6 linked regions of the Macaca fascicularis genome follow. The protein of the gene in region 1 binds, or shares a complex with, the protein of each later gene. Links are inferred from orthologs where the notes say so. Each region holds a gene or a part of one and is shown on either strand. Other genes may lie near its edges. The genes, in order: POLR2L, TAF1B, POLR1B, ERCC3, RRN3 and GTF2E2.

What was found.
Region 2: POLR2L (region 1) and TAF1B share a complex: the UniProt entries of both Homo sapiens proteins name them as parts of the pol I pre-initiation complex. The link is inferred for Macaca fascicularis from reciprocal best matches to the Homo sapiens genes POLR2L and TAF1B.
Region 3: the proteins of POLR2L (region 1) and POLR1B are in contact, whole or in part, in a cryo-EM structure (PDB 7OBA), measured with the Homo sapiens proteins. The link is inferred for Macaca fascicularis from reciprocal best matches to the Homo sapiens genes POLR2L and POLR1B. Residues at the interface, in NP_066951.1 of Homo sapiens: Met1, Ile2, Pro4, Arg6, Cys7, Phe8, Thr9, Cys10, Gly11, Trp18, Tyr21, Leu22, Leu25, Gln26, Glu31, Gly32, Arg42, Tyr43, Cys44, Arg46, Arg47, Met48, Leu50, Ala51, His52, Val53, Asp54, Leu55, Glu57, Lys58; in NP_061887.2 of Homo sapiens: Leu16, Leu19, Thr20, Asp21, Pro22, Tyr24, Gly25, Pro27, Ile157, His160, Glu161, Glu162, Ala163, Phe698, Leu701, Thr702, Arg713, Gln715, Thr716, Pro717, Gln718, Ser719, Leu721, Asp733, Asn734, Pro736, Asn740, Ala741, Ile742, Asn760.
Region 4: POLR2L (region 1) and ERCC3 share a complex: the UniProt entries of both Homo sapiens proteins name them as parts of the TBP-based Pol II pre-initiation complex. The link is inferred for Macaca fascicularis from reciprocal best matches to the Homo sapiens genes POLR2L and ERCC3.
Region 5: POLR2L (region 1) and RRN3 share a complex: the UniProt entries of both Homo sapiens proteins name them as parts of the pol I pre-initiation complex. The link is inferred for Macaca fascicularis from reciprocal best matches to the Homo sapiens genes POLR2L and RRN3.
Region 6: POLR2L (region 1) and GTF2E2 share a complex: the UniProt entries of both Homo sapiens proteins name them as parts of the TBP-based Pol II pre-initiation complex. The link is inferred for Macaca fascicularis from reciprocal best matches to the Homo sapiens genes POLR2L and GTF2E2.

What each region holds. Positions count from the first base shown.
Region 1 is NC_088388.1:742,002-747,227, reverse strand, and holds POLR2L (DNA-directed RNA polymerases I, II, and III subunit RPABC5), read left to right. Parts: upstream 1-1,937; 5' UTR 1,938-1,958; coding exon 1,959-2,053; intron 2,054-3,952; coding exon 3,953-4,061; 3' UTR 4,062-4,229; downstream 4,230-5,226. Other genes in the region: TSPAN4 (tetraspanin-4), read right to left, coding at 112-296. UniProt on the Homo sapiens protein: DNA-dependent RNA polymerase catalyzes the transcription of DNA into RNA using the four ribonucleoside triphosphates as substrates.
Region 2 is NC_088387.1:112,161,634-112,166,177, reverse strand, and holds part of TAF1B (TATA box-binding protein-associated factor RNA polymerase I subunit B), read left to right. Parts: intron 1-1,401; coding exon 1,402-1,472; intron 1,473-1,953; coding exon 1,954-2,176; intron 2,177-4,544. UniProt on the Homo sapiens protein: Component of RNA polymerase I core factor complex that acts as a GTF2B/TFIIB-like factor and plays a key role in multiple steps during transcription initiation such as pre-initiation complex (PIC) assembly and postpolymerase recruitment events in polymerase I (Pol I) transcription.
Region 3 is NC_088387.1:19,569,932-19,574,442, forward strand, and holds the end of POLR1B (DNA-directed RNA polymerase I subunit RPA2), read left to right. Parts: intron 1-743; coding exon 744-997; intron 998-2,011; coding exon 2,012-2,894; 3' UTR 2,895-3,429; downstream 3,430-4,511. UniProt on the Homo sapiens protein: Catalytic core component of RNA polymerase I (Pol I), a DNA-dependent RNA polymerase which synthesizes ribosomal RNA precursors using the four ribonucleoside triphosphates as substrates.
Region 4 is NC_088386.1:4,251,119-4,255,662, forward strand, and holds part of ERCC3 (general transcription and DNA repair factor IIH helicase/translocase subunit XPB), read left to right. Parts: intron 1-1,554; coding exon 1,555-1,604; intron 1,605-2,030; coding exon 2,031-2,166; intron 2,167-2,352; coding exon 2,353-2,517; intron 2,518-2,958; coding exon 2,959-3,163; intron 3,164-4,544. UniProt on the Homo sapiens protein: ATP-dependent 3'-5' DNA helicase/translocase. Binds dsDNA rather than ssDNA, unzipping it in a translocase rather than classical helicase activity. Component of the general transcription and DNA repair factor IIH (TFIIH) core complex.
Region 5 is NC_088394.1:15,520,613-15,525,156, forward strand, and holds part of RRN3 (RNA polymerase I-specific transcription initiation factor RRN3), read left to right. Parts: intron 1-103; coding exon 104-234; intron 235-1,100; coding exon 1,101-1,285; intron 1,286-3,046; coding exon 3,047-3,155; intron 3,156-4,544. UniProt on the Homo sapiens protein: Required for efficient transcription initiation by RNA polymerase I (Pol I). Required for the formation of the competent pre-initiation complex (PIC).
Region 6 is NC_088382.1:33,860,837-33,866,033, reverse strand, and holds the start of GTF2E2 (transcription initiation factor IIE subunit beta), read left to right. Parts: upstream 1-2,153; 5' UTR 2,154-2,759; exon of another isoform or gene 2,760-2,997; intron 2,998-5,197. UniProt on the Homo sapiens protein: Recruits TFIIH to the initiation complex and stimulates the RNA polymerase II C-terminal domain kinase and DNA-dependent ATPase activities of TFIIH. Both TFIIH and TFIIE are required for promoter clearance by RNA polymerase.

The sequences.
Region 1 (5,226 bases):
GGCCTCCACACACATGTGGTGGGGACTCGGGGGAGGGGCACAGAGCCTGAGGCTGGGGCAGTCTCCAGGTCTCAGGGGCTCTGCTAGGAAATGGAGGGATAGGAAGCTTACACACTTGGAATTCCAAGAATGTCAGCTTGGCCCAAGCCAGGATTTGGAGGGCAGCTTACTCTCCCCGCCCCGTGCTCCGAGTAAACAACTCCTGCAGGCAGGAACAGGCGCAGGACAGGCCCTGGACCCTCCTCCAGGAAGCCTCCGGGCCCCCACCCACTCCCCAGGGCCCACCCTGCTAACATCCCGGACCCCCCTTCCTCCCTCACCTCCACAGCCACCAGCAGCCTCTGCAGCTGAGCCTGGCTCTGACCCCAGGCCACCGTTACTCACGGCCCCTGTCCTGCCCCTCTGCCAGAGCAGGATGTGCGTCCACTCATCCTGGGGGGAGGGGGTCAGGGAAGGGAAGTGGCCTCCGCTCGTGGCTCTGCACGTGGCTGGGTGGGGTATGACAAATGCCACTGGGGAAGCTGCCCAGGGCCCTGGCCAGGTTGGGAGCAGAAATCCCAAGTGTGCAGTGGATCTGGCCAGCACCACTCTGGATCCAGAAAACCCTTCATCCTCCTCCCCTGCAACTAAGGCAGACCCAGCATTGCCCTGAGAAAGCGGCAGCTGATGCCTGGAACCCAGCACAGGTCCCACCCCAGCTGGAAGCCCCAGCCCAGAGCCCCCCCATGGGTGCCACTTTGCAGCCCACCCACCCCCCCACAGCCTACCTGGCACCTCCAAGGAGTCTTCTTTGCCTCCTACTGCACACCGACCCCCCATTTCCTCACCCCCACCCTAGGGGCACAGCAAGGAGGGTGCTGGTGCCAGCCCCCCCGCACTCCATCCGAGAGACACGGGCTCCCCCTCCCTCGTCCTCCGTAGGCCCTGAGCTCCAGGGCAAGGCAGAGCTGCGGCCTTCAGCGGGTCCTGCCAGTGCAGCCTCCGGGAGTCTGCCCAGGGGTCCCCTGTGCCGCGGTCTTCAAGGTTCAATTCAAAGAGCACCTCTTCCACGACGCCCTCCCCGACCTCCCTCCCGGGCCCCCTCTCCCCGTGCTCAGAGGCGCGTCTCAGCGTCGGGACGGCCAGCAGCCCAGCAGAGCCGGGACCGGGGAGGGCGCACCCCGACCCCCTTCCTGGGAAGGAGCGGAAAGAACGCGGACAGGAGGCCGGGGCGGGGAGCAGCCGGCGGGGGCCGTAACTGCGCGGCCGAGGCCAGGACGGCGCTCCTAGGGGCTGGGCCGCGTCCAGAATGGGACCCCCGAACTCGGCGCCGAGAGCCCCGGACACCCCGCGAGTAGAGGCGGAGGCGGAGGGACCCACTACCCGGCGGGGCCAAGAGGGGCAGCAGGAAGACCCGCCCCGGTCCGCGCCCGCCCTCTCCCCAAGCCCCCGCGCCGGACCCCACTTGTTGCTGCGTGTCGGCTCTAGGCTCGAACTCGCGCGCCCCGCTCGCGTCCGGCTCCAGCCGCTCCCGGTCGGACACCTCGGGCCGCGAGACCCTGGCCGCACGCCCCCACGACCCCCCGGGCGCTCTACCTGCGCCGCCGCCTCCCGCTCGCTTCGTCCGCTCCCTCCGCGCAGCTGTCAGTCAAGCGGACACGAGAAACGCGAACCGCCACCGCGGCTTTCGGCCCTGCTCAGACGCCGTAGCTCCGGGACGCACCAAGATGGTGGGCGGGGGTGTGTCGTCTGTTGCTGCCGCGGCCGTGCAGGCCCAGGAGCCCCGGGCCGCATGGGGAATCCCCATGGCGGCGGAAATTGCGGCCAGCTGCGCCGGGGCCAGTGTATGAACGGCTGGGGCAGCGGAGAACGAGCGGAGCCGGTCCCCCCGCGATAGTGGACGCGCCCGGGGCGGGGCCTGGGGGGAGTGCTTCCCGTGCGGCCGGACCGGGCCGGGCAGTCTGGGACGCGCCGCCGCCATGATCATTCCTGTACGGTGTTTCACTTGCGGCAAGATCGTCGGCAACAAGTGGGAGGCCTACCTGGGGCTGCTGCAGGCCGAGTACACTGAGGGGTGAGGCGCGGGCTGGGGCCGGGGCTGGGGGCTGAGTCCGCCCTGGGGTGCGGGCCGGGGCGGGAGGCGCAGCGCTGCCTGGGGCCGGCGCTCCATGAGCAGCTTCATACCCGGCCACTCCGGCCCAGCTCTGTGATCTGCTTTCGGGAGAACATTGTCCCCTGAAGTCTGGGGAGAGAGCGGAGTTGGGCTTCAAACCAGTGGTGTCCTGGGGATTCTAGGTGGCCTGGCGGGTGGCAGGCGTCTTGTCACCCGCAGTAAAGCCCTTGGTCTCCGTCCTAATCTCTCGTCTCTGCTCCCAGACCCACCCCATGTCCTGCAAACCTCGCTGCAGGACAGGCGGGCGCGGCGGCTCACGCCTGTAATCCCAGAAGTTTGGGAGGCCGAGGCGAGAGGCTTGCTTGAGCCCAGGAGGTCGAGACCAGCCTGGACAACCTGGGGAGACCCTGATCTCCAGAAATTTTTTCTTTTTTTTTTTTGGGGGGGACGGAGTCTCGCTCTGTCGCCCAGGCTGGAGTGCAGCGGCGCGATCTCGGCTCAGTGCAACCTCTGCTTCCTGGGCTCCAGGAATTCTCCCCAGTCGCCGGGACTACAGGCGTGTCCACGCCCGGCTAATTTTTGTATTTTTAGTAGAGATAGGAGTTCGCCATGTTGGCCAGGCTGGTCTCGAACTCCTGACCTCAGGTGATCCACCTGCCTCGGCCTCCTGGAGTGCTGAGATGACAGGTGTGAGCCACCGCCCCTGGCCCTCTTATCTTTTTAATTCCCCGGACTTGGTGGTGCACACCTGTGGTCCCAGCTACTTGGAAGGCTGAGGCGAGAGAATCGCTTGAGGCTGGGAGGCAGGTGAAGATTTCAGTGAGCCGAGATCACGCCACTGCACTCCAGCCTGGATGAGAGAGTGAAACTCCGTGTCACGCACACACACACACACACACAGAAAAAGAAATGCAGGGCAGACTTGCTGACCACCCTCATCATCGGGCTTTGTGGGGGAGGCATCCTTCTCCTGTGCTTGTCCCTCAGTGCTGCTGTCACCACCGTGCCTGAGTCTTGGTGCCCCTGCTGGAGTCTGACCCTTGCCTGCTGAGTCCTGGTCACATGTGAAACCCCAGGCTCGTGTGTGCCAGCCTGCCATAGGCTCTCAGTGCAGCTTGCTGGACGAATGAGTAAAGCGAGTGGGCTGCCAGAGTGAGTGGCTGGTGGCCTGTCCAGACCCTTTCCCAGGGATATGAACTGCAGGGGCCTCCCATGTGGCCTCCCCTTTCCCAAGCTTCTCTCTCTGCACATTGGAGCCATCAGTGTGGGAGTTTTCTGGAAGTATTGATGGTGACTGGACCTTGGTCCCAGGGAAATTAAAGCTTCTAATTGGCTTGGGAAATGGGAGAGGTGGCTCCCTGGAGAAGCAGTCTCTCCCTGATTGAAGGAAGCAGAGGTGAGAAAAGACGCCACAGTGGCAGAGTAGGGCTTGCTCTGGGGTGGGGGATGAACCAGCTAAGGGCAGGCCCCTGGAGAGCTACCCTGCTGTGGCTGGTGCGGGATGAGGGGAGCTGCGCATCAGGACCTCGGTGGCCTTGGTTTTCTATGCTCCCCCAATTACCTCTAGTTTTCGTTTCATTTATATTTCTTACATATGTTAGACACACATATGTACAGCCAGAGTAGGTGGGAGAGAAGGCTCCTCACGCTCCACCCAGGGATCTGGGCATTGCCAGGTTACTCCAGCCAGGATCATACCGCTAGGTCTCTACTTCTCATCCAGGTGAATGTGTTCGCCTTGCCGGTAGCAGGGGAGTGAGGCCAGCAGGCAGTGAGAGGCGGCCTGGATGTGGGCTCCAGGCCTGTGCAGACCGTGGAGAACTCAGCTGGCCTCTCTGTTCCTCCCCTCGCTTGACACAGGGATGCGCTGGACGCCCTGGGCCTGAAGCGCTACTGCTGCCGCCGGATGCTGCTGGCCCACGTGGACCTGATCGAGAAGCTGCTCAATTATGCACCCCTGGAGAAGTGACCAGGCTGGAATCCGCCTACCTGCCATGCTGACCATGGGCCATGAGCATCCTGCCCCAAGTTCACAAGGCTGAGGCATCCAGGAGCTGGCGCAATGCCTCGCCACAGCGTGTGTGTGTCCCATCCCCCACTCTGGAAGGAACAATCCAGTAAAGGTCTTTCAGAACTACCAAGGTCCCAGCCCTCACTAGGATGTCAGGGGCCAGGACTAGGCCCAGCTTTCACCGCGGCAGCCCAGGGAAGCCGACTGGGCCATGAATTCTCCTAGCCCTGGGGCCAGCCTGTTCCACAGGTACCCCTGCAGGAGGTGCTGCCAGGAGAGCCTTCCATCTCAGGGCTGAGGTTCCCTCCTTCTGGGTGCTCTTCAGACTGAGCAGAGGCTCCTGTACTCTCTCTCTTGGAATCTGAAGAGCCAGATTTAGGCCAGGCACGGTGGCTCACCCCTATAATCCCAGCACTTTGGGAGGCCAAGGCGGGTGGATCACGAGGTCAGGAGATTGAGGCCATGCTGGCTAACACGGTGAAACCCCGTCTCTACTAAACATACAAAACAAAAAAAACAGCCAGGCGAGGTGCCGGGCGCCTGTAGTCCCAGCTACTCGGGAGGCTGAGGCAGGAGAACTGCTTGAACCCGGGAGGGGGAGCTTGCAGTGAGCCGAGATTGCGCCACTCACTCCAGCCTGGGTGACAGTGAGACTCCATCTCAAAAAAAAAGAAAAAAAAGAACCAGATCGTCTGGGGCCCAGTCTTTGCTATGGTCACGGATGCCAGCACCTGCTGGCCCCTGCCCACTGCTGCCTGTCCCTGAGGGTCCCACCCGAGTCTAGCAGGGAGGGCAGGCCTTAAGACACCCCTAGCTGGCTTGGGAGGCGGCCCTAAGGAGGCCCTGCTGTCCAGGCAGTGCTGCCAGCAAGCACCCCAGGTCAGATGGCCCTGCTGCTGAGATACCTGGCGTGGTGCCCTCTGGTGGGGGAGAATGGGTCTGCCTGAGGGTCTTCAGTTCTGAGCCTTAGGGACAGGAGCCTGGGCAGTGGGGGGTACAATCAGTGACTGAACCCTGGCTCCCGTCTCCAGGGTACCTCTGCCAGACACCAGGCTCTGGTATCTCCCATCCGTGCCCCCAGCAGGGCCTATAGGCTCTACCATGTAAACCCCCTCACCCTACT
Region 2 (4,544 bases), on another chromosome or scaffold:
TTTATATACATATTACTTCCTAGTATTAAAAATAAATGGTGAGAAATTATTACAGATACTACAGATGTTTAAAATATTTGTATTTCTGGCTTCCTATTTTTAATCTTTTTTTCTGGAAAGTTCACAGATATTTCTTGAGTATCTGCTAGCCAGGCACTTTGTCAAGTACTAAATAATAATTCTAATTATTGTATAGGATTTAAAGAACCCATATATACATTATCTTATTCCTCAGAATAACCCTGTGAAAGTAGAGGATGAGTTTAGAGATGCTAAATTCATTTCTTTGTTCATTTATTCATCCAGTTATTCTTCAACAAATGTTTAAATGAGTTCCTACTATCTGCCATTCCCTGACAACGCTAGGGGCATAAGGATGGCTGAGACAGTCTCTGCCTTTGAGAGCCTCCATAATTTGTCGTTCAGATTATGCTAGCTCTACCACTAGAAAGTGGTGGGCCAGGTCTTCTGATTCAGTACTCTTTCTTGTTGCCACAGTGTCTTTCAAAATAAGAAAATGGCCTGGGATCAAGAAGAAGGTGGATTTTTTTTTTATTATTATTATAAGTTATGAAAGTCCTCTGCACTAGGGAACACAGAAATAATGAAAATGAGACTAAGAATGAACATTGTTATCTTTGTTGCAGAGCTGCAGTGTCTCCTTGGCAAAGTTTAGCAACAACCACTAGAACCAGAAATAGAACATGTCACTTCCTTTTGGAGTCTAGAACTGATCACCCTAATCTGTAGGAACCTTAGGTGGCTCTTAGTGTTTGTCCTGGAGGGAACCCCAAGAGCCAGAGCAATCCAGGATCCCCATTTTACAGTGGAAACTCCCTGGCTGCCCTTCCCTTGGCAAGAATAGGCTGAGTCAGGACAGGGACTGTTGGGACTGTGTCATCCTGGAATCCAGTCTCTTCCTCTCCTTTACGCCAGGAGTAGAATAGATTTCCTGGCATCAGGTGCCAGAGAGATGCATTTACTGTTCACTCCGTGTAAGTTATTCAAAAGTACTACTAACAACTCTCAGCAAAAAGGCATTGGGGCAAAGGCAATGAGGAACAGTTGTTTCGAGGTGGCTTCACTTTATGAGAACGAGCAGCAAGGGAAATTTATGGTGGAGGAAACTGTTTCTGTGTTTTGTGTGTAATTAATAGCTTCTTCAAGATGTCACGGCATCTGGGCAGCTTTTGAGAGGAGCATACCATTCTCTTGGCCTGGGCTCTCGGTCAGTGCTTCCTTCTAGGGCCTAAGTTCAGTAGACAATATAGACATGTGCCAATAAGCCATTCTAAGCCAGAACTGTAACGAAATATCGGAAATCTCAGATAGTGCTTCAGACAATGTGTTTATGTCCGTTTCATCTCCATCCTGCTCCAGCTGTTTCTTTACCATGTACAGGTACCTGTGGAAAAGTGAAAAGCCACTCTACTACTCGTTTGTCGACAAACCAGTAGCATATAAAAAAAGAGGTGAGTCCAGTTTTGTCTTAATACCAAGTAGCAACACAATTGTAGAAAAATTAAATATCTGGACTTGAAATGTTGAATGCTTAAGTTTTTTACTTTTTTTAAACAAATGTTCCGGGGCACGTATACATCCAAAGGAGCATCATGCTCTGCAAGCAATCTCTGCAGGAATCTACTTCAGGAACATGCCGTTCTTCAAAACAGAGCCTCAGTTCCTGCCAAAATCTAAAATCCTAAATCGTTCTGATTTTGGGAATTCTTTGCTTATAGAATTCTTTTTGGATTGTACATTCTTTTTGAAGTAGTTTTCCACATGCACCTCATCCAGTTTCATTTTCTCTTAAAGTTATCCTGTTACATTACGGTGGTACATTTGCCAAAACTAAGGAACCAATATTGGTACATTCTTATCAAGTAAATTCCAGGCTTTATTTGTGATTTAATATAACTTGTTATTTTGTTTCCTTTTTTTCTCCATTTCCAGAAATGGTGGTGAATCTACAGAAACAATTTAGCACACTGGTTGATTCAACAGCAACTGCTGGAAAAAAAAGCCCTTCAAGTTTTCAGTTCAACTGGACTGAAGAAGACACTGATAGAACATGTTTCCATGGACACAGCCTTCAGGGAGTCCTGAAAGAGAAAGGCCAATCACTGCTAACTAAGAATTCATTATATTGGCTTAGTACACAGAAATTCTGCAGATGGTAATCAATGCTTTTAGAAAAAGTCACATATAATTGAAGCAGTTGCCTATATAAGAGCCAGATAGGTTTTCTGTTGGAATTAGAAGCTGGTGAGCTTAAAGTCACGAAAATCAGAATTATACATTGAGTCTTGTGTAAGAGTTCTAGGAAAGCTGGTAAAAAGAAAGAGGATACAAGGCAATTAGCACAACTGTTGCCTCTAAATTAACCTGCAGTGCAGCAGGCAGGCAATAGAAGTGGCTGTAACTGCTGATCAGGAGAATGCGCTGTATTTTTTAGTACATATCACTTCTCTGAGTCAGTTACCTTTTTCATGTCTTTCTACCTCTTAATACTTCCTTAAGTATTTCCTAAAAATAAGGATATTCTCTTAAGTGACCACCGTACAGTTATCAAACTCAGGAAACTTAATATTGATACGATACTTTTATCTCACCCACAGTCCATATTCCAGTTTTCTCATTAGATCCCCAGTGTCCTTTTATAGCAGGATCAAGTTCAGGAGTAGGTATAGCATTGATTGATTTTATCTCTTCAGTCTCCTTTAATCAGATTGTCCCTCAGCCTTTCTTTGTCTTTCATGACATTGACCTGTATTTTTCAGAAATGTCAGTGGTGTTATACAATATTTCTGAGTATGGTTGTGATGGTTCCTCATATTTAGATTCAGGTTTTGCATCCATGGCAGCTTATGTCGTGATCCGTACCTTTGTGCTTTTTCACAGGGCATGAGGGTGGATTGTGGATGATCTCAGATTTAATACTGCAGTATAACGCAGTGAGTGATACATAGAGCTTAGTATAGTCAGTGATGAAAATGCTGAGATTTTTTTCTCTGAATGAAGTATAAAACTAAATTCTGATTGTATGAAGTTTCAGTGATACCATGACTTTAGACACCAAACTTATCTGTCAACCTTCCCTGTTCTAGACCAGAGCCTAGAACTGCAGAGCAAGCAAAAAAGGCTTCAGCTGGGCAGTAAAAATGCCACAGAGACCGTAACTAAAACTCAGCCTCTTTCCTTAGAGAGCCCCTTAGCCCCTCGCTCAGAGCCCCTGACTCTGCCCTTAGGCTGAGTTGTCTGATTTCCAAACTCCTCATCGTCAAAGAAACAAAACCAGAGGTCCGAGAAGCACTCTGCTGATAGACATCTTGACGGTAAACATAAATGACACCCTTTGACAACGATAGGGGAGCCAGCCTCAGAATCCAAAGCAGACAGAGCTCCAGTCGCAGAGCCTGAAGTTCATGGCTCCGTGCCACTAAATAAGGGGACCACATCCCTGCTTCAGCACAGCGCATGTCCCAAGATGCTGTGTGCCTTCGTGGTGGGTTTTAATAGCATGTTTTCTACTGTTTCTACAATAAAAACAGGCAACTGTAAAGGCTAAAATATGCTAAATATGCTCTAAGACAACCATCAAAAATGGTTACAATGAAAAGCGATGCTTTTGAGAGCAGATATTTAGCTATGTAGAGAATTTCATTAGGCAGAAGGACTCATTTCTGAGGGTTCAGAAGAAACAAAACATTTGCTGTAAAATTGTGAAAACACTCAGAGCTTGGGAACTAAGCAGAGAAAGGCCACAAGAGTACTTCAGGTATGGGAGGCTGTTGATTCTTCCTAGCTGAGGCAGAGTTAACAATTTCAATGAATTGAAATGCCCTTTCTATTCCCAGTTGTTATAATAGTTGGCTGGGTCAGAAGACCTGACTTCTTGTAGGTGGCCATGACCTCCCTGGGAGTTCCATAGATGAGGCAGAGCAGTGGTCTTTAGTTGTATTCCACAGGAAATGGAGGTGCTTTGGCTGCCCCACAAAAATTTGATTTGAATTTGTAAAATATTATTTTTAACTATTTTTTTAAACTACAGTGAAAAAACAGTACTCAGGCCGGGCAGGGTGGCTCATATCTGTAATCCTGGTGCTTTGGGAGGCCGAGGCAGGCGGATCACGAAGTCAGGAGATTGAGACCATCCTGGCCAACATGGTGAAACCCCGTCTCTACTAAAATACAAAAAATTAGTCGGGCGTGGTGGTGCATGCCTGTAGTCCCAGCTACTCAGAAGGCTGAGGCAGGGTAATCACTTGAACTCGGGAGTTGGAGGTTGCCATGGGCCAAGACTGTACCACTGCACTCCAGCCTGGTGACAGAGCGAGACTTAGTCTCAAAAAAAAAAGTACTCAAATATGTCATATGCTTAGCTTAGGCAGGTGTGGTGGCACATGTCTGTAGTCCTGGCGACTTGAAAGGCTGAGGTGGGACAATCACTTGAGGCCAGGAGTTTGAGGCTGTGATGTGCAATGATTGTGACTGTGTGTAGCCACTGCACTCCAGCCTGGGCATAGTGAGACCCTGTCTCTTAA
Region 3 (4,511 bases), on another chromosome or scaffold:
TGAAATCACTGAAGGAATATTTTTGTGTACCCAAGTACCTAGTATTTGGCACATGATGTTCTATGAAATGATTAGTTCTTGGTCTAAGTTGAAAGTGGGCAAGCCTTGAGGAGTATCCACTAAATATTCAGATACACATATATCTTGCATATTTGAGTGCATATTATGAGTAAATTTTGAAGAGTTTGGTTTTGGATATATCTACCTTTTATATTTAAGTATGATTAGATTTTAAGCTATTTCTGTGTGCCTGGGTTTTTGTTTTTCTTGGTGTTTTTTGTTTTTTGTGTTTTTTTTGAGCCAGAGTCTTGCTCTATTGTCCAGGCTGGAGTGCAGTGGCACGATCTTGGCTCACTACAACCCCTGCCTTCTGGGTTCAAGCAATTCTCCTGCCTCAGCCTTTCGAGTAGCTGGGACTATAGGCACCCGCCACCACGCCTGGCTGATTTTTTATTTTTAGTAGAGATGGAGTTTCACCATGTTGGCTAGGCTGGTCTCTTAACTCCTGACCTCAAGTGATCAGCCTGCCTTGGCCTCCCAAAGTGCTGGAATTACAGGCATGAGCCACTGTGCCCAGCCATGTCTGGATTTTTGTAGTTAGTATCAGTGATTTGGAAAATGTGAGGAGAGTTAAAATGTGATGCCAGTTATCCTAAACCAAGTATTATAGTCCCACCTAGTTTTATTTTGAAAATCCTCACTTGGCCTCAGTCTTTTAAATTAACGATTCTTTTACTTCACAGATTGTGAATAAGGCCTCTTGGGAACGAGGCTTTGCCCATGGAAGTGTCTACAAGTCTGAGTTCATAGACCTCTCTGAAAAAATTAAACAAGGAGATAGTAGCCTGGTGTTTGGAATCAAACCTGGTGACCCACGGATTTTGCAGAAGTTAGATGACGATGGATTGCCGTTTATAGGAGCAAAACTGCAGTATGGAGATCCATATTACAGCTACCTAAACCTCAACACTGGGGAAAGTTTTGTGATGTACTATAAGTAAGTTTGGGTATCCAAGCTGGTTTTTGTTTGTTTTTTGAGATAGGGTCTCAGTGTGTTAGCCAGGCTGGAGTGCAGTGGAGTGATCTCACTCCCTACAACCTCCACCTCCCGGCTCAAGCAATCCTCTCACCTCAGCCTTCAAGTAGCTGGGACTACAGGCACGTACCACCATGCCCAGCTAATTTTTTGTATTTTTAGTAGAGATGGTTTCACCATGTTGCCCAGGAGGGTCTCGAACTCCTGGGCTCAAGTGATCCACCTGCTTCAGCCTCCCAAAGTGCTAGGATTACAGGTGTGAGCCACTGTGCCTGGTCTATTTGTGCTTTTTTTAAAAACTGTATTATACAAACTTTGTCGTCTTTATCATATACAATGTTAGCAATGTTTCCTAGCCAAAATGTTGAGCTCATACCTCTTATTAGAAATGTCTTATTTTAGCTTATTTTACAATATAATTTATTTCAGTAGACCTTCATAATAATTTTTCAGTTGCCTTTGTTGCTAGTTTTCTTTCAGATGAACATAATTCTGTAGTGAATATCACCAATAGCTCTATTCATACCATCTCTGTTTGTATTGGAGAATAAAGGTAAGAATGAGTTTTGCAGGCCAGGCACAGTAGTTCACACCTGCAACCCGACAATTTGGGAGACCAAAATGGGAGGCTCCCTTAAGCCCAGAAGTTTAAGATCAATCTGGGCAATGTAGTGGGACCCTGTCTCTACAAAAAATTTAAAAATTAGCCAAGCCTAGTGGCATGTACCTGTAGTCCCAGCTACTGAGGCGGCTAAGGTGGGAGGATTCCTTGAACCTGGAAAGTCAAGGCTGCAGTGAGCTGTAATCACACCACCCCTCTCCAGCCTGGGCAACAGAGTGAGACCCTGTCTCATCAAAAAAAAAAAAAAAATGTGTTTTACAAATATCTTTTATGAAGCACTAATTATGTCAATGAAACTTACCTCTATAAGTTTAAACAAATAGGTTGACCTTACAGAGTTTACTTTTTCCTAGGAGTAAAGAAAATTGTGTTGTGGATAACATCAAAGTGTGCAGTAATGACACTGGGAGTGGAAAATTCAAGTGTGTTTGCATCACTATGAGAGTGCCTCGGAACCCAACTATCGGAGATAAATTTGCCAGTCGTCATGGGCAGAAGGGCATTTTGAGCAGATTGTGGCCGGCTGAGGACATGCCTTTTACTGAGAGTGGGATGGTCCCAGACATTCTGTTCAATCCCCATGGTTTTCCATCCCGCATGACCATCGGGATGTTAATTGAGAGTATGGCTGGGAAGTCTGCAGCTTTGCATGGTCTCTGCCATGATGCTACACCCTTCATCTTCTCAGAGGAGAACTCGGCCTTAGAATACTTTGGTGAGATGTTAAAGGCTGCTGGCTACAATTTCTATGGCACCGAGAGGTTATATAGTGGCATCAGTGGGCTAGAACTGGAAGCAGACATCTTCATAGGAGTGGTTTATTATCAGCGCTTACGCCACATGGTCTCAGACAAATTTCAAGTAAGGACAACTGGGGCCCGAGACAGAGTCACCAACCAGCCTATTGGGGGAAGAAATGTCCAGGGTGGAATCCGTTTTGGGGAGATGGAACGGGATGCGCTTTTAGCTCACGGTACATCTTTTCTCCTTCATGACCGCCTCTTCAACTGCTCAGATCGGTCAGTAGCCCACGTGTGTGTGAAGTGTGGCAGTTTACTCTCTCCACTGTTGGAGAAGCCACCCCCTTCTTGGTCTGCCATGCGCAACAGAAAATACAACTGTACTCTGTGTAATCGCAGTGACACTATCGATACTGTTTCTGTGCCTTATGTTTTTCGGTATTTTGTAGCTGAATTGGCAGCTATGAACATCAAAGTGAAACTGGATGTTGTTTAACTTGATGTTGACCTTTTGGATTAGGAGGCCTATCAGATTAAAACAAAACGTAATTTTAGTTCAATGAAGATATTATTACCAGGTTACTCTTGAGATTTTTCAAGGGTGTTAGAACTCTCAACCAAGATCTGAAAACCAAGAATGCAAAGTGTGAATCTCGCTGGTAGATTAACTGTTGACAATGATTTTCTGTATATTTGTTCAAAAATCTCATGTCTTCTCAAAATATGAAATATTGATAAATGGAAGAACATACAGGTTCCCTACACCCTGCTTTCAGCAGGCAGTGACTGTCACACACCTGTTAATCCATCTTGAGCAGGACAGTACTATACAAATAGAATGCAAGCTGTAACGTAATTTTATATTTTCTTATAGCAACATTGAAGTAAAAACAAACAGAGTGTTTTTTGCCAGCTTTATAGAAGTACAGTTGTTACATATGTAATGAATACAGTTTGATGGGTTAGACTATATGTACACACCTTTGATACCATCACCACAATCAGGGTAATAAACATATCTGTCATCTCCACAAGTTTCCTCCTGCCCCTTTGTTTTTTGCTTTTTGGTTGCTGTTGAGTTTTTTGTTTTGTTTTCTGTGGTAAGAACACGTAACTCAAGACCTACCCTCTTAACAAATCTTTAAGTGTACAATACACTATTGTTAATTATAGGCACCATGTTGTACAACAGATCTTTAGACCTTGCTTGTCTTGCATAACTGAAGCTTTATACCTGTTGAACAACTCTCCATTTCCCTAGCCCCTAGCAAGCACCCTTCTACCCTGTTTCTACAAGTTTGACTATTATAGATATCTCATATAGTGGTATCATGCAATATTTGTCCTCCGACTGGCTTATTTCACTTAGGATAGTGAAATAAGATTCATCCATTTTGGAAGCCAGGCATGGTGCTATGCATCTGTAGTCCCTGCTATTTGAGAGGCTAAGGTGGGAGGATCATTTAAGTGCAGGAGTTCAAGGCCAGCCTGGGTAATGTAGGAAGACCTTGTCTTAAAGACCTTGACCTCAAGTGATCCACCCACCTTTGCCTCCCAAAGTGCTGGGATTACAGGTGTGAGCCACTGCGCCTGGCCTCCAGTGAGTATTTTATATTTAGTCTACACTTCCATACTTGGCTTTTTTCTGCATTTATATTGACCTGCTTTCAAGCAGTGTGTAGAGTGCCGCTTATGTTTTCTTTCCTGTGCACAGTATTTTATTGTACGGATATACCATCCCCTGTGTATTTGAGTTGTTCCATTCTTTGGCCATTATAACTTTTTTCGGCAAATACTCTGCCTATTTATCTTTGGCCATTATAAACTGTTGATAATAGATCATCTTGTATGTACTTGTGCAATTATAGGATATTTTTTGATGATGAAAGCTTTCCTAAGGTAATTCTTTCCTGAGTTTGGTTTAGATGGTCTGTCACTAATTATAAAATAAGGCAGATAGGAAAAGACTCAGAAAAATCTATCATTTCAAGATAGGCTTAGCAGGACGGGCATGGTGGCTCACACCAGTAATCCCAACATTTTAGGAGGCCTAGGTGAGAGCAATCACTTGTGCCTAGGAGTTCTAGACCAGCCTGGGCTGAGACTAATGACA
Region 4 (4,544 bases), on another chromosome or scaffold:
AAACAACTTCAGATGTTGTTTTTGACAGAACAAAGAGGGTTCCATGTGATTAATAGTTGAACATGCTGGGTTTCTTCTGAGAGATGGGTGAATGCCATTTAAAAGAGATGGACAGTGGCTTTCATTGCCTTTGGCTGATCCAAAGGGAGTCAGATTCAGACCTTGAGATCTGGAGTGGCAGAAGAGTACCGCAGGAATTCAGTATGGCACTGCAAGCAGTCCCAGAGAAGCTGCAGGAGTCATCGAGAGAGCTCTCTTTTCCTGTGATGTGGAAGTATGCCCGGCCAGGCGCAGTGGCTCACTCCTGTAACTCCAGCACTTTGGGAGGCCGAGGCAGGTGGATCACCTGAGGTCAGGAGTTCAAGACCAGCCTGGCCAACATGGCGAAATTCCCGTCTTTACTAAAAATAACAAAAATTAGCTGGGCATGGTGGTGGGCGCCTGTAATCCCAGCTACTCAGGAGGTTGAGGCAAGACAATCACTTGAACCCGGGCGGCAGAGGTTGAAGTGAGCTGAGATCTCACCATTGCACTCCAGCCTGGGCAACAGAGCGAGACTCCACCTCAAAACAACAACAAAAAAGAAAGTGTGCCCAAGGAGAGGACCTTGTACCAACATTGTGGCTATGCTCAGTCTTGGCTGCGAATTGCCTGCAGGGATGTAGGTGTTGGCACACTGCACTGGTGGATCAGGGACAACAGCGGGAACAGGCAGCCACTTAAAGTCTGGCAAATTTTTTTTTTCTTTTTTTTTGAGACGGAGTCTTGCTCTGTCGCCCAGGCTGGATAGCAGTGGCACAATCTTGGCTCACTGCAACCTCTGCCTCCCGGGCTCAGGCGATTCTCCTGCCTCAGCCTCCCAAGTAGCTGGGATTACAGGCGCCCGCCACTACACCCAGCTAATTTTTATATTTTTGGTAGAGACAGGGTTTCACCATGTTGGCCAGGCTGGTCTCGAACTCCTGACCTCAGGTGATCCACCTGCCTCGGCCTCCCAAAGTGCTGGGATTACAGGCGTGAGCCACTACGCCTGGACTCAGTGGCAAATTTTTATTGTTGCCACACAGCCTCTACTGTATTCCTTCCTAAAGGTGGTTGGGAACCTGGGAGGATTTAAGCTGTATTCTCTGCCATCAAGATGCTTACATTCTATTTGGGGAAATAGGAGCATTGGTGAAGAGGCTTTGCGTTTTGTTTAAGCAGCAATTACTGTGCACATACTCTGTGCAAAGAGTTGTTGTAATACTGGTGTGGTCTTCAGGCTAGGGTGGGGGCTGTGGGAATAGAGAGGAAAGGCAGAATGCAAGGAGATTTTAAGCAGCGTTTTATAACTGAATGGATGTGCATCAGAATTAGCCAGGCAAGAGGAAGATTTTGTTCTCAGAAAGCAGAGGCCAATGGGAAAAGCTCAGTTTAGGCAGATCTGAACCCGTTAGGATTGTCCTAAAGTAAAATGAATTTTTCACTTGGTTGGTTGGGGTAAGATGTGACCAGTAGTGAATGTGTTCTGAGTTAGCTGCACATTTACCTATTGGGTGTTATCTCTATTTGCAGTTGTGTACTGTCAGCTATGGAAAAGTCAAGCTGGTCTTGAAGCACAACAGGTAAGAGATTCCGTGACAGGCCTGTCCCGAGTCATGGTCACTCTCTGCGCACCAGCAGGAATAAAGGGATATGGGAAGGACCTGATGTTTATGCTGTCTGCTCTGTGCCAATACCACACTCCTCTGAAGCACAGATAAGAGAAGAGGAACAAGAGGTGTGGCCCAGACTGGAAACTCGTCCACTGGCCACTGTATTTCCTCTAGCAATGGAGCTGGGCTCAGGCCCCCGCTTACTTGACCTCAAAGTGGGGCTTTGCCCACAACCCTCATATGTTAAATCATGGCCAGCAGCTCATAGTACAGATTGGGCGAAGGGTTGCGGGGAGAGTCTTGAGGCTTGTATTTCCAGACCGTCTGATTGAATGAGCAGTGGAATGAGGAGGTACCTGCTGGTCAGCAGACTGCTTCTTCCTCTCCTGCTTGCAGATACTTCGTTGAAAGCTCCCACCCTGATGTAATCCAGCATCTTCTCCAGGACCCGGTGATCCGAGAATGCCGCTTAAGGAACTCTGAAGGGGAGGCCACTGAGCTCATCACAGAGACTTTCACAAGCAAATCTGCCGTACGTGGACTCCTGGGCTACCCTTGGGTGGGGGCAGGCATTTAGGGTTTCAGTTCTCAGGTGACTTTTACCCAGCATTTACAACCTGGCAGCCCTGCTGGTTTCTACCCTTTACAACTTCACCCTTTGTTTGATACCAGCAGAATTAAATGATGTGTGCACATTCAGCACCTACCTCTCTCACAGATTTCTAAGACTGCTGAAGGCAGTGGTGGGCCCTCCACTTCCCGAGTGACAGATCCACAGGGTAAATCTGACATCCCCATGGACCTGTTTGACTTCTATGAGCAAATGGACAAGGATGAGGAAGAAGAAGAAGAGACACAGACGGTATCTTTTGAAGTCAAGCAGGTTAGTGTGAACGGACCTTCCTCCTGGTTCCCTCACTGAGTTGCTGTTAGAAGTTAGTCCAGCCCTGTGTCAACTCTGCCTGTAGTCTGTGTGAAAGAAAGGAATCCCTGTTGGTCCCTGCATTGCTTTCTACTTTTCATTATCTGTGGGCCATGGCATCACTCCTCTTGATGGATTTAAAGTCCCAGTGTCCTCTTTTTCAGGCTGGTAGGCTGGTCTTCACAAGTTGCTGAGGAGATGTGAGAAACAGTGCCTGAAAGTGTTACTAGTTTGGGTTGCTTTTCTGTGCTTTATCCCAGTTGTTAACTGAGCAAGATCTAAAACTGTAGAAGTTTAGACAGAATGCCACTTGTTTGACCATTAGACCTGTTACAAGATGTGATGTTTTTGAGCACACTTTGGAGTTAAGATTTTAAAACCTTTTTTGTGCCTACTTTCCAGGAAATGATTGAGGAACTCCAGAAACGTTGCATCCACCTGGAGTACCCTCTCTTGGCAGAATACGACTTCCGGAATGATTCTGTCAACCCTGATATCAACATTGACCTAAAGCCCACAGCTGTCCTCAGACCCTATCAGGAGAAGAGCTTGAGAAAGATGTTTGGAAACGGGCGTGCACGTTCGGGGGTCATTGTTCTTCCCTGCGGTAGGTGGTTCTGGAGTTAAGAAGGTGGCCAGGCTGCTGTGTCTGGATCTGCCAGCTGCCTCTTGCTTTCTCTCTGCGCATGTCACTAAATCACACTTTGCTAAAAAGCCAAGATCAGGTGACTCCCTGATTCATGACTTGACAAGTATTCTAGTGCTTGCTGTGCATGGGCCTTGGCCTGGACACTGGGAGTATTATGGTGGCTAGAACAACACTTCTGACCTCATGGAGCTCATTCTTCTGGGGAAGATACAGATGGTAAGCAGATGTGTACAATCTTGGGTGGTGCTAGAGGCAGTGAAGAAAAATGAGAGCAGATAAGGGGTGAGATTGTAATAATGGCAAGGGGCTGTTGCACATAGTGGCGTTAGGTTCTTGTTCTTGAATCAGCCTTAGGGGTTGTGTATTTGGAGACTCCCTAGCACAGAAACGTTGGTGTTCCTGGATGACTAGGATGGTGTGCAAGTCCAGGGAAAGGCAGGAGTGGCCCCCTGGGCACCTGTTTGACCACTTATCCTCAGTAATGTCAGATCCTAGCCTAGCTTCTTGGCCAGAGGCCACAGCAGACTCACCTTGGGACCCCACTGAGGACTTACAGAGGCAAGGTCTTCAGGGAAGGGGAGGTTCTTTTTTTCCAAAACTCCAAGGGTTTTTTGATGGTGTTTTTCTTTTTTATTTCACTTTGCAATTTTTTTTATTTGCATTTACTCCTGGTAACTCAACAGAATGTATTTTTATAATAAAGGAAGGATCTCTGTTTAATGGAAAAGCTTGATTTTTCTCTTGATCTTTAAATGGTGGATGGTGGTAAACTCAGAAGCTCCTGGAATTTCATCTTCTCTGTACACACGCAGCGCATCCCTGAAGTCTCAGCCCCGTTCGCTGTGTAATAATAATAGTGCTCTTTTGCCAAGTCCCTCCTTCTGTGGGCCAGGCATGCTGGGCCCCAGCAGTGTCACTGTCCCGTGACTGTGGGCAAGGCAAAGTACTCCTCTGCTTTAGTTTTTCAGTCTGTCTTTTTTCTTTTTGAGATAGAGTCTTGCTCTGTCACCCAGGCTGGAGTGCAGTGGCGCCATCTCGGCTCACTGCAACCTCTGCCTACTGGGTTCAAGCTATTTTCCTGCTTCAGCCTCCCAAGTAACCGGGATTATAGGCGCCCGCCACCACGCCTGGCTAATTTTTTGTATCTTTAGTAAAGATAGGGTTTCACCATGTTGGCCAGGCTGGTCTTGAATTCCTGACCTCAAGTGACCCACCCACCTCAGCCTCCCAAAGTGCTGGGATTACAGGTGTGAGCCACCGTGCCAAGGTGGCTCAGCCAGGTTTTTCTATCTTTAAAATGACAATAACAGGCATTTCTCTTTTCACCAGTTTGTTTTGA
Region 5 (4,544 bases), on another chromosome or scaffold:
TAGAACTTTTTCCTACATTGGTGAAGTAAAAATCTTAGGATTTTGATAGCCAGATTATCTTAGGCATTAAAAAAGATCACACCGACACCCTCTCTTTTTATAGGGATTCGCAGAGGCATTTTTGGAACATCTCTGGAAAAAATTGCAGGATCCAAGTAATCCTGCCATCATCAGGCAGGCTGCTGGAAATTATATTGGAAGCTTTTTGGCAAGAGCTAAATTTATTCCTCTTATGTAAGTAGCCTAATTTTCCAAGTACTTTTTAATATCATGCTTTAAAAAGAGTATAGCATTGTCTCAAGTCAGAAGTATCTCCCGTTTTTTTGGGTATGTTTTTAAAGTGAATAAAATTCCTACTCTGTGCAAGATGTTTATATTTCTAAGCAGTGATTTTAGAATAAAGTGTCTCCTTTTTTTATATATAAAACCCCGTATGTAAGGCTTTTGTCATCTCTTCTGTGTGGTTGCACTTAAAGATCCGTTTGTTTTTGTGGATAGAGAACAGTGTTGTATACTGTTTTGATTCTTTTTGTAGGTTTATCATTTTTTCATTTGCGTTCTGAATCTATTGTATCTGTTAAAGCTGAAGAAAAACCCTTTTAAAGGTAATAGACCTATCTAGAAGGCCAGTTTCTTCCAGTGGCCCATGAAGATATCTTTGGACAAGGATGCTGTTGAAACCCTTCCCCAACCACAAAATTATTGACCATAGGACTTGACTAGGATGCATCAGGGAATACTGAAGTCCACCAGACTGTCTTTCTTTTGGGAGATGTTGGTGAACGTGTCCTGTTTGGCCAGTCACCCTAAGAGGGTGCCTTTGAGATGGTTAGGAGAACCTGCTTTCCATCCCTTGGGACGTCCTTAGGGGCTCACCTGTTCCTAGAAGGTCAGAGCTGCTCTGCCTTGTAATTGGAAGCTTGTCTTCCTACGCACCCATCCATATCCTTCCTTTCTTTGCTTTTCCTCTGTGCCCATGGGTATTATTTAAAGAAACATATGAACTTAGCGTGGTTTGTAATGAAAGGCAGTTGTGTGTTTTTATGTTTTCTGGTTTTTTTATGAAATATGAAGTTGACTTGAATTTTTCTTTTCTCTAGTACTGTAAAATCGTGCCTAGATCTTTTGGTTAACTGGCTGCACATATACCTTAATAACCAGGATTCAGGAACAAAGGCATTCTGCGATGTTGCTCTCCATGGTCCATTTTACTCAGCCTGCCAAGCTGTGTTCTACACCTTTGTTTTCAGACACAAGCAGCTTTTGAGCGGAAACCTGAAAGAAGGTCGGTGTTGTGGGAGTGCGGGACTGGATTTTCCTTGGGTTCTTGTCACCCTTTAGAATGGTGATTCTTTACTTTTTTGAGATTTTTATTAAAAACTCTGGATTCAGAAAACTGCATGTACACTCAAACTTTTAATAATCATTTCAAGCAGCTCATAGGCCCCTGCAAACCCCTTAAGATGGATTTGAGGTTAAGAAAGAGGTTTCTGCTTTTGAAGGTTTAAAATGTGAAGATGTCTGCAGAGGTGAGGCTGAGCCCTGGGCTGTGCCAGCGCCCTGTACAAAGCTTCAGGTGGATGCACCTTCTCTTTGTTGTCCTTGTAACAGCCCAGTAAATGGCAGGTGTTCTCCCTTTACAGACAGCACCAAAGCACAGGGGAGTCATTTTCCCAAGATCACATGGTTATTGGCAGGATTAGAAAACTGAAGGCAGGTTCAGCTGAGCCTAAAGTTTGGGTTTATATAGATTAAACTCTGCCTGAAGCCTTGAGACTTAATTCACCAGTATTGCTTTGCTAATTTCTAATAGTTACTTATAATTCAAATCTGTCAGTTGGAACTTACTAGATTAGTGTATTTTAGTTGAAGAGAGTCTCCAAGAACAGTGTTTATAAGTCATTGTAAATTGTTCTGTTTATGTTTATGAATAATTCACATGGTTTTGTGGGCCACTTCCTCTCAAGCGAGGTCCCTCAACCTCACACGATTGACATTTGGGTGCATCATCCTTCATCGTCGGGGGTTGTCCTCTGCACTGTAGGATGTTTAACAGCCTCTGCCTACTAGCTGCCAACAGCAGTCCCCGACCACCCCCAGCTGTGACAACTAAAACTATCTCCCAAAATTGCCATGTGTCCTCTGCGGCGGACATAGTCTCCTTGGGTTAACAGCCAGAGCTCTAAACTGAAAGTTGTATGTGTTGCATTATATATATTTACCTACATTCTACATGCTTCTGAAAAGATGTTGTATGAACTAGTCGGATGAGGTTTTATCACAAGGTTAGTAAATATAAGCTCTGCTTTTCTTCGTATAAATTAATGCCAGGAATCTGAATTGAAGATCTTGTTTTTGTAAGCTGTGACATCCCATTTAGGTAATTTTTATCAAAATATGCATCAAAGAAACTCCTGAGAAAATACACTTAAGTACAAGTTGGTCAGCTTGCCTGTTAAAATAAATGTGATGTCTTTCTTTTACTCACGTAGGAGAGAATTATATTCATTAAGAAAGTGGTTTCTGTCTAAATTTGCCTTCTGTTGAGGTAGAAGGCACATTTGGAGTTCTCTTGTTTGGAAAAAAAAAAAAACAAAAAAAACTACAAATGACTACTGTGTACCTGAAAACAGCGCTCAGCTTCACTAATGAGACGTGCAAGCTAGAATCAAATTGTTGTTTTGTTTTGTTGCCTGTCATGATCGTTAGCTGAAACCAAATCACAAGGTGTTTTTCCCCTCTGTATTAACTCAGCATATACTGAGCTTACAAACGTGTGAACTTCCAGTTGTCATGGAATCTTACAGCCTGCTACTTCCTGAGTTTTCTTTAGAGAAGCTGCCTTGGTGATCAATGAATGTGGTTAGCCTAGTGATACTCTTCTGGGCCATACACTGTGTGATTATCTGCATGGACCTTTATTTAAAGCATTTCTGCAAATAATTAAGTTTTTTTTTTTAATGTGTGATAATTTGTGCTATTAAAGATATCTTACACTTTTCACTTACATTTGTACCTCTAAAAAAATTTTTTTTTTTAACCAAAGGTTTGCGGTATCTTCAGAGTCTGAATTTTGAGCGGATAGTGATGAGCCAGCTAAATCCCCTGAAGGTTTGCCTGCCCTCAGTGGTTAACTTTTTTGCTGCAATCACAAAGTAAGTTATTTACTTTCTTGATGGGAGTTATTTAAAATATTTTTATTTATGTTTATCTAGTATTGTAAGAGTCTGTTAAATTTCTGTGAAATTAGTAACATTATAAAAGGCCAGGCGTGGTGGCTGACACCTATAATCTCAACATTTTGGGAGGCTGAGGTGGGAGGATTGCTTGAGGCCAGAAGTTAAAGACCAGCCTGAGCAACATCGTGAGACCCTGTCTCTACAAAACATTTTAAAAAATTAGCTGGGTGTGGTGGCCTGTGCCTGTAGTCCCCACTACTCAGGAAACTGAGGTAGGAGGATCACTTGATCCCAGGAGGTCAAGGATGCCGTGAGCCATGATTATACCACTGCACTCCAGTCTGGGCTCCAGAATGAGGCCCTGTCTCTTAAACAAAAACAACCCAGTCCTTGCAGGAAATATTGTAATACAGCTATTGTTTTTGTACTTTAATGGCATTGGAAATTGCTGCTACTTCTTATCCAAAGGGCATAATTCAGCAGAAGCCTAGGCACTTTGAAATAAGTAAGGCAGCCAGTAAGCTGAGAGGGGCAAAGCCATAGATGCTTATTAGAGTGACTCCTGTAATAGTAACAGAAATAAACTGGACGTGAGGCAAATGTTGACCAGTAAGAGATTGGTTTAGAGAGTACTGTTCTCTCAGGTCTGGTAGCTATGGTTAATTCATAGCCTTTCCTCTGTGCCAGGCAGTTCTCAGCACTTTACGTAGAACTCATTTGATCCTCAACCCTGTAGGATGAAACCCTGTTTATCAATGGGGAGGTGGAGGTACAGAGAGGTGACATCACTTAACCTGAAGTCATAGAGCTAGACTGGCGGCACAGATTTTAATGTAGTCTGGCTCCTTCGTAAGCTTTCACTAAGTTATTCTGCTTTATGGAGAAAGCAAATTGGAGAATTGAATATTTAATGAGGATATTCAGGCCGGATCATAGCCTATAATCTTCAACAGGTAAGAGCCAGCAGCTTGCTGAGCTCCTTCAGCCTCTTTAGTTCTCCTTTGCTAGGCGTCTGGTTCAAGGTGGGCTCTCTTCTGAGATCTCAGTGATAGTGGAGGGTTAGGAAAAGGCATCGAGAGACCAGCAAGCAGCAGCAGTGGGTGGCTGGAGGCTTCAGCACGTTGGTTAAGATGGTGGGCAGCTCAAAGAGTGAGGACGGATGAAGCAAGCAGAGGCCGCTGCCCTAGTATATTCTCGGGGTGGGGACAGAGGACTGCATTTGTGAACCAGCTGGTGCAGGGGCTGTCGATTTGGGGTTGGCATGCGCATTAGAGGTACAGAGTGTGCTGCCATGTGAGGCTGAGAGCAGGGGAATGAAATAAAGGTCTCTGCCTAGGTACAGATATTGTAAATAAAGGTGTGTGC
Region 6 (5,197 bases), on another chromosome or scaffold:
CCACACTTGAGTTTGGCAGAGACACAAAAGCAATCGGAAAGAGGGGAGGCTTTATAGTGGAGAAAAAAAGGGATGCTTCTGATGTGTTCTGATTTAGGGTTGTTGGCAGAGAAGCTGGAGGTAATCTAACTTGAAGCAGGAAACTTAACAGGATTGGTTTGGGGGAGAATATTTGGCTTTCTCTGGCTGGTACTGGTGTCTGGGGACAGAGAGATTAAAATAGAAAAGTTGGCAGCCTTCTTGAGAAAATCCTGACCATTTTGAGCTGATTGCTGTAGAGGTTGTGGTTTGGCTTATGTGAGTTAGAGTGTTATTATCATATGCAGTTTAGCCATTGTCCATATGTTTAAGTCTCTCACTCATTAATACGGGAGCCAGCAGAATCGTAAAATGGATTTCTACCAGTTCTGAAAAATGAAATTTATACAATTGTTGGGGAAAGGAGTGCTGAAATACAACTGCTCAGTTGATACAAAACTGGTTAATTTTTCTTAGAAGAATGCAACCTTAACCTTTGGAATTATATACATATTTATACATATTTATATACAAATATATATTTATATATTATTTTGTATATTATACATAATATATATGATATATAATATATGATATATATTTATATATCATACATTATATATAAATATATATCATATATTATATATTATATATAAATAGATAATGTATATTATACATGATATATAATATATATTATATATAAATATATTATAATATATATTATATATTTTATATATTATATATAAATAATATATTTATATTTATATATTTTTATATATATAAATTCAGCTTGGCACTGAATTCCCTGCCCCTTTCTCCCCTTACACCTCATCAGTTTCCTACCAATTAATCTTTGATTTCATCCTTTTGTAAATCTTCTGGGCCCTAATCAATTGTTATTCAAAGTTACATTTCCTGTGGGTGTCAGATGATCAAGTAGGCTTATTACAAAATTCTCTAGAATGAAACTAATCAAAAAGGTCACAAAATATTATCTTTTGACTTTTTTCCAAGTTTTGAATAAAATTTTAGGTATTTCTCATTTTCACCACAGTCCAATGCAAGTAACTCATTGTAGTAGTACAATGATTATCCCGATTTTCCAGGTGAGAAAACTGAGCCACAGTTTTAGTAACTTGAAGAGTAACCAGTAGTTAAGTAATTCAACGACAGCCACAGAATGGCTGAGCACTGGCTGTACTGGCGCTTTAGGTTATAAGAGTGAGGGAAGGCCTGCCACGCTGCAGGGTTCGAGCAACGACAATTATTTTTTCCATTGCTTTATTTCCACCCATTTATCTGGCTTCTAAATCCAAAATCCTTTTCTAAGACAGTTCACAGGGGTGGAGGGAAGAGGCTGGGCTGAGCTCCACATCATGCTGCCTTTGCTAGCTGTGCTGTCTTGAGCAAGTCATTTATTAATTAGCTTCCTGGCCCTCTGTTCTTCGCTTGTAAAATAGCTGGAACCGCGTTCTCGGAGAGCAGGTGCTGGTGGGTGGCACTGGGGTAAACTCACAAAATAACCGTTGAGGCCGGAGGCGGTGGCTCACGCCTGTAATCCCAGCACTTCGGGAAGACGAGGCGGGCAGATCGCTTGAACTCAGGAGTTCAAGACCAGTCTGGGCAACACTGTGAGACCCTATTAATACAAACAATAACAACAAAAATCAGCCCGTCGTGGTGGCAGTCGCCTGTGATCCCAGCTACTCCGGAGGCTGAGGTGGGAAAGTGGCTTGAGCCCAGGAGGCGGAGGTTGCAGTGAGCCGAGATCGCGCCACTGCAGTCCAGCCTGGGCGACCAAGTGAGATCCCATCTCTAATAAGAAAAAGACAAAAAACACAAAGTAACCATTGAAAGATAGCGTCGCTGGTTGGGTTCACCACATCCCAGCGCAGGCGGGAGCAGGCTGTAGCAGCTTTAATTAAATGTGCGTAAAGAAAGCTGTCTTCCATCTTCCTTGGCACCGCCTCCCACTTCAGTCCACTCCTCGGCCCCGCCCCGGCCCTTCCCTCGTTGTCATGGAGGCTCCAGGACGCCACAGCGGGATAGTTCTGCTCCCGCGGCACCAGAGGCGGGGCACCCTATGACGCATGCGCTCGCTTCGCTGCCCTGGCGCCGCGGTGGCTGCCGGGACTGAGCTCCTAGCACCAGATCGGGAAGTGGCGGGCGGAGTCCCGGGTCGAGTCGTCGCCTCAGCCACCGCCGCCGCCGCCGCCAGTGGCGAGACCCCGACCTGGCGGGTCAGCGCTGGGCGTGCGTGCGGGCAGGCGGGGGCGCTGACGAGGAGCAGGAAGAGGCTGCAGTGCCGGCGTGGGCGGCTGGCCGAGGCGGAGGCGCAGGAACTGGGCGGCGAGTCGTGAGAGGCTGCCCGCCTCACTCAGGTAGGGGCTGCGGCCGCCGGGTGAGGGGCGCAGAGCCCCGTCCTGCTGTTCCCCAGGATCCAGGCGCGCCGCCGCCTCCCGGGAGGCTGAGCGTGACCTCCACCCCACGGGAAGCTGGGGCCGCCGTTCTGGAAGCGAAACACCGAGCACGCGAACCGTTCCCCGGAGCATTGTCTTTAGGCCGGAGGTTCATTGAGCAAACTTTTGGGTTGGAAAGAGGGAAAATTCGCTGTTTGCTACCTGATTGTGCCTCTTCCAAGCCTCCAAGTTCACGGGCGCGGTAGCCAAGCGAACCACGTTGTGGAGTCTGAGGAGCCACGGGGTCCAGCCAGCTCAAGGCTGTGATTTAAAATGATGCTTGTACGCGGACTGCTTTCTGGGCTACCTTTTGGAGACTTGGTTTGTGATGATCCCTAAACATTAACGATAGTAGTTGATTTCTGAAGTCTAAAGACGTTTTCCACAACAATGCTGCGGCCCGCTTTCCGCCCACCTCCTCACTTCCGTCATTTAAGGGCGAAGCAGCCCGCTTTTCATGGCCGGATCCTGAGGTGCCAGGGACACTAACGAGGCTGGGAAAAAGTAAAACAGAGGGGAGGTAGGAAGGTTGAAAGAGGTCGAATGATGGCAAGAATCGTGGGCTTGGAGGCAGATTTCAGTTTAATTTTTGGGTTTTCCATATCTGCCCGCGGAGGAACCAGCCAACTCCTTGAGTTGTGATAGTTTTGTTTAATTGTAAAATGAACATGGTGATGTAACCTGTTTACTACATAGGTGGGTCCAGAGATCTAAAGCGTACTACACATATTGAGTAGTCTTTGAAAAAGGAGGAAAAGTTAGGCGGAGCACGTGAAGACATTGCGAAGCCTTCTGCTCTAGATGCCTTTGAACGTTCCCGAACCTCATAGGTGGCCTTTGTTTTAAAGGCCTTTACCAGCATTCCAGATCTGTTGTAAGGAGCACTTGAGTTAGGAGTCAGGAGGTTTGGGTTCTGGCCCTGGCTCTTCCATCTGTGCGACCTTAACCAGACAGCTTCACTTCAGATTTCATGTATTAAAATAGGAATGACACTAATACCTGTTTGCTCCTGGAGTTGCGAGGGTCAAATACTGTAAGCATTTAGTTTGTTGTAAACTGTACGGCTTTATTTACATCTTTTTTTTTTTTTTTTTTTTTTTTTTTGTGCCGACAGAGTCTCGCGCTGTCTTCCGGGCTGGAGTGCAGTGGCTCGATCTTGGCTCACTGCAACCTCCACCTCCCTGGTTCAAGCGATTCTCCTGCCTCAGCCTCCCAAGTAGCTGGGATTACAGGCGCCCGCCACCACGCCCCGCAATTTTTAAAAATTTTTTAGCGGAAACGGAGTTTCACCATGTTGGCCAGACTGGTCTAGAACTCCTGACCTCGTGATCCGCCCGTCTCGGCCTCCCAAAGGGCTGGCATTACAGGCGTGAACCACTGCGGCCGGCCTATTTAAATATTTTAGAGTCGTTTTTTAAAAGTCCAGATTAAGGTCCTGCCTTTGCAACGTGAAATAATAAGACACAAATGTTTCCTGTTCTAGAAATTCACAATCAGCTTGTTGCCCCCACCTTCTCACTTAACAATTCTCCTTTCTTGTTCTCGGCCCCACGCTTTCCCTCCTCCCAAGGCTGTCTCCTACCTTCCTCAGCGCAGTAAATCGTTCTTTTCTTTCAGATCCAACTCGAAATAGTAATACTGAAATGACATATGTTTTTATGACTTTACTATTTAAAAAATAACACACGTTTTCTCATTCTTACAATTGGGCTGGATGTGGATAGCTTTCGCAGCGTCCTCATTTTACTTATGAAATTGAATGTAGAGGCCTTGTGGGTTGCCTAGCCAGGTGGCTCTTAGGAATTGAAACTGAGGCCGGGTGTGGTGGCTCACGCCTGTTATCTCAGCACTTTGGGATGCTGAGGTGGGCGGATCACTTGAGGTCAGGGCTTCAAGACCAGCTTGGCCAACATGGTGAATGAACCCCGTCTCTACTAAAAGTACAAAAATTAGCGGCGCGTGGTGCTTCGCACCTGTAGCCCCAGCTACTCGGGAGGCTGAGGCAGGAGAATCGCTTGAGCTCAGGAAGCGGAGGTTGCATTGAGCCGATTTTGCCCTACTGCACTCCAGTCTGCGCGGCAGAGCAAGACTCTGTCTCAAAAAAAAAAAAAATTGATACTGAGAGAAGGCAGGTTTTTGATTCACCGTACAGTGATTGTTCACGCCTTAATTGGAATTCACTCTGATTATTTCTTACTAATGCTTATATTTTAAATTTTTAGCTGAATGCTCCATTTCCTCAAATCTAAGCAGCACGCAGACAAGGATTTATCCTCCATAACCTTTCAAAGCTTAGAGCACAGTGCCTCACAAACAGAAGACATTTAATAAAGGCTTGTGAAACCAGTAATAATGGGACCAGAGCAATTTAAAGATGTTGTTCCATGTGTTGTTCATTTAACATTTATTGAGCTATCTGTGCTTAGAAGCTTTCAAAGTATGAGTCTTTTTCCTCCCAGCTGACACTAGTCTTAACAGTGTCAAATTCATTTATATAGTCAGCTTGAGGTCTTCATAGACCCTCTGCAAGGTTCTAGCAGAGTTCAGAAGAGAGGAGTGTTTAGAATTCTTCTTGGTTGACCTGTAGCTTCCCTGGTTGTACTGAAGTTGCTTACAGTTGTAATTTTAGAACTGGACAAACAACCACAACATAGAAGTTGCCTCAAACCACCTCCATCCAAATTGGAAATTTTCTGTAGACTTTTATTTTTTTATTTTTT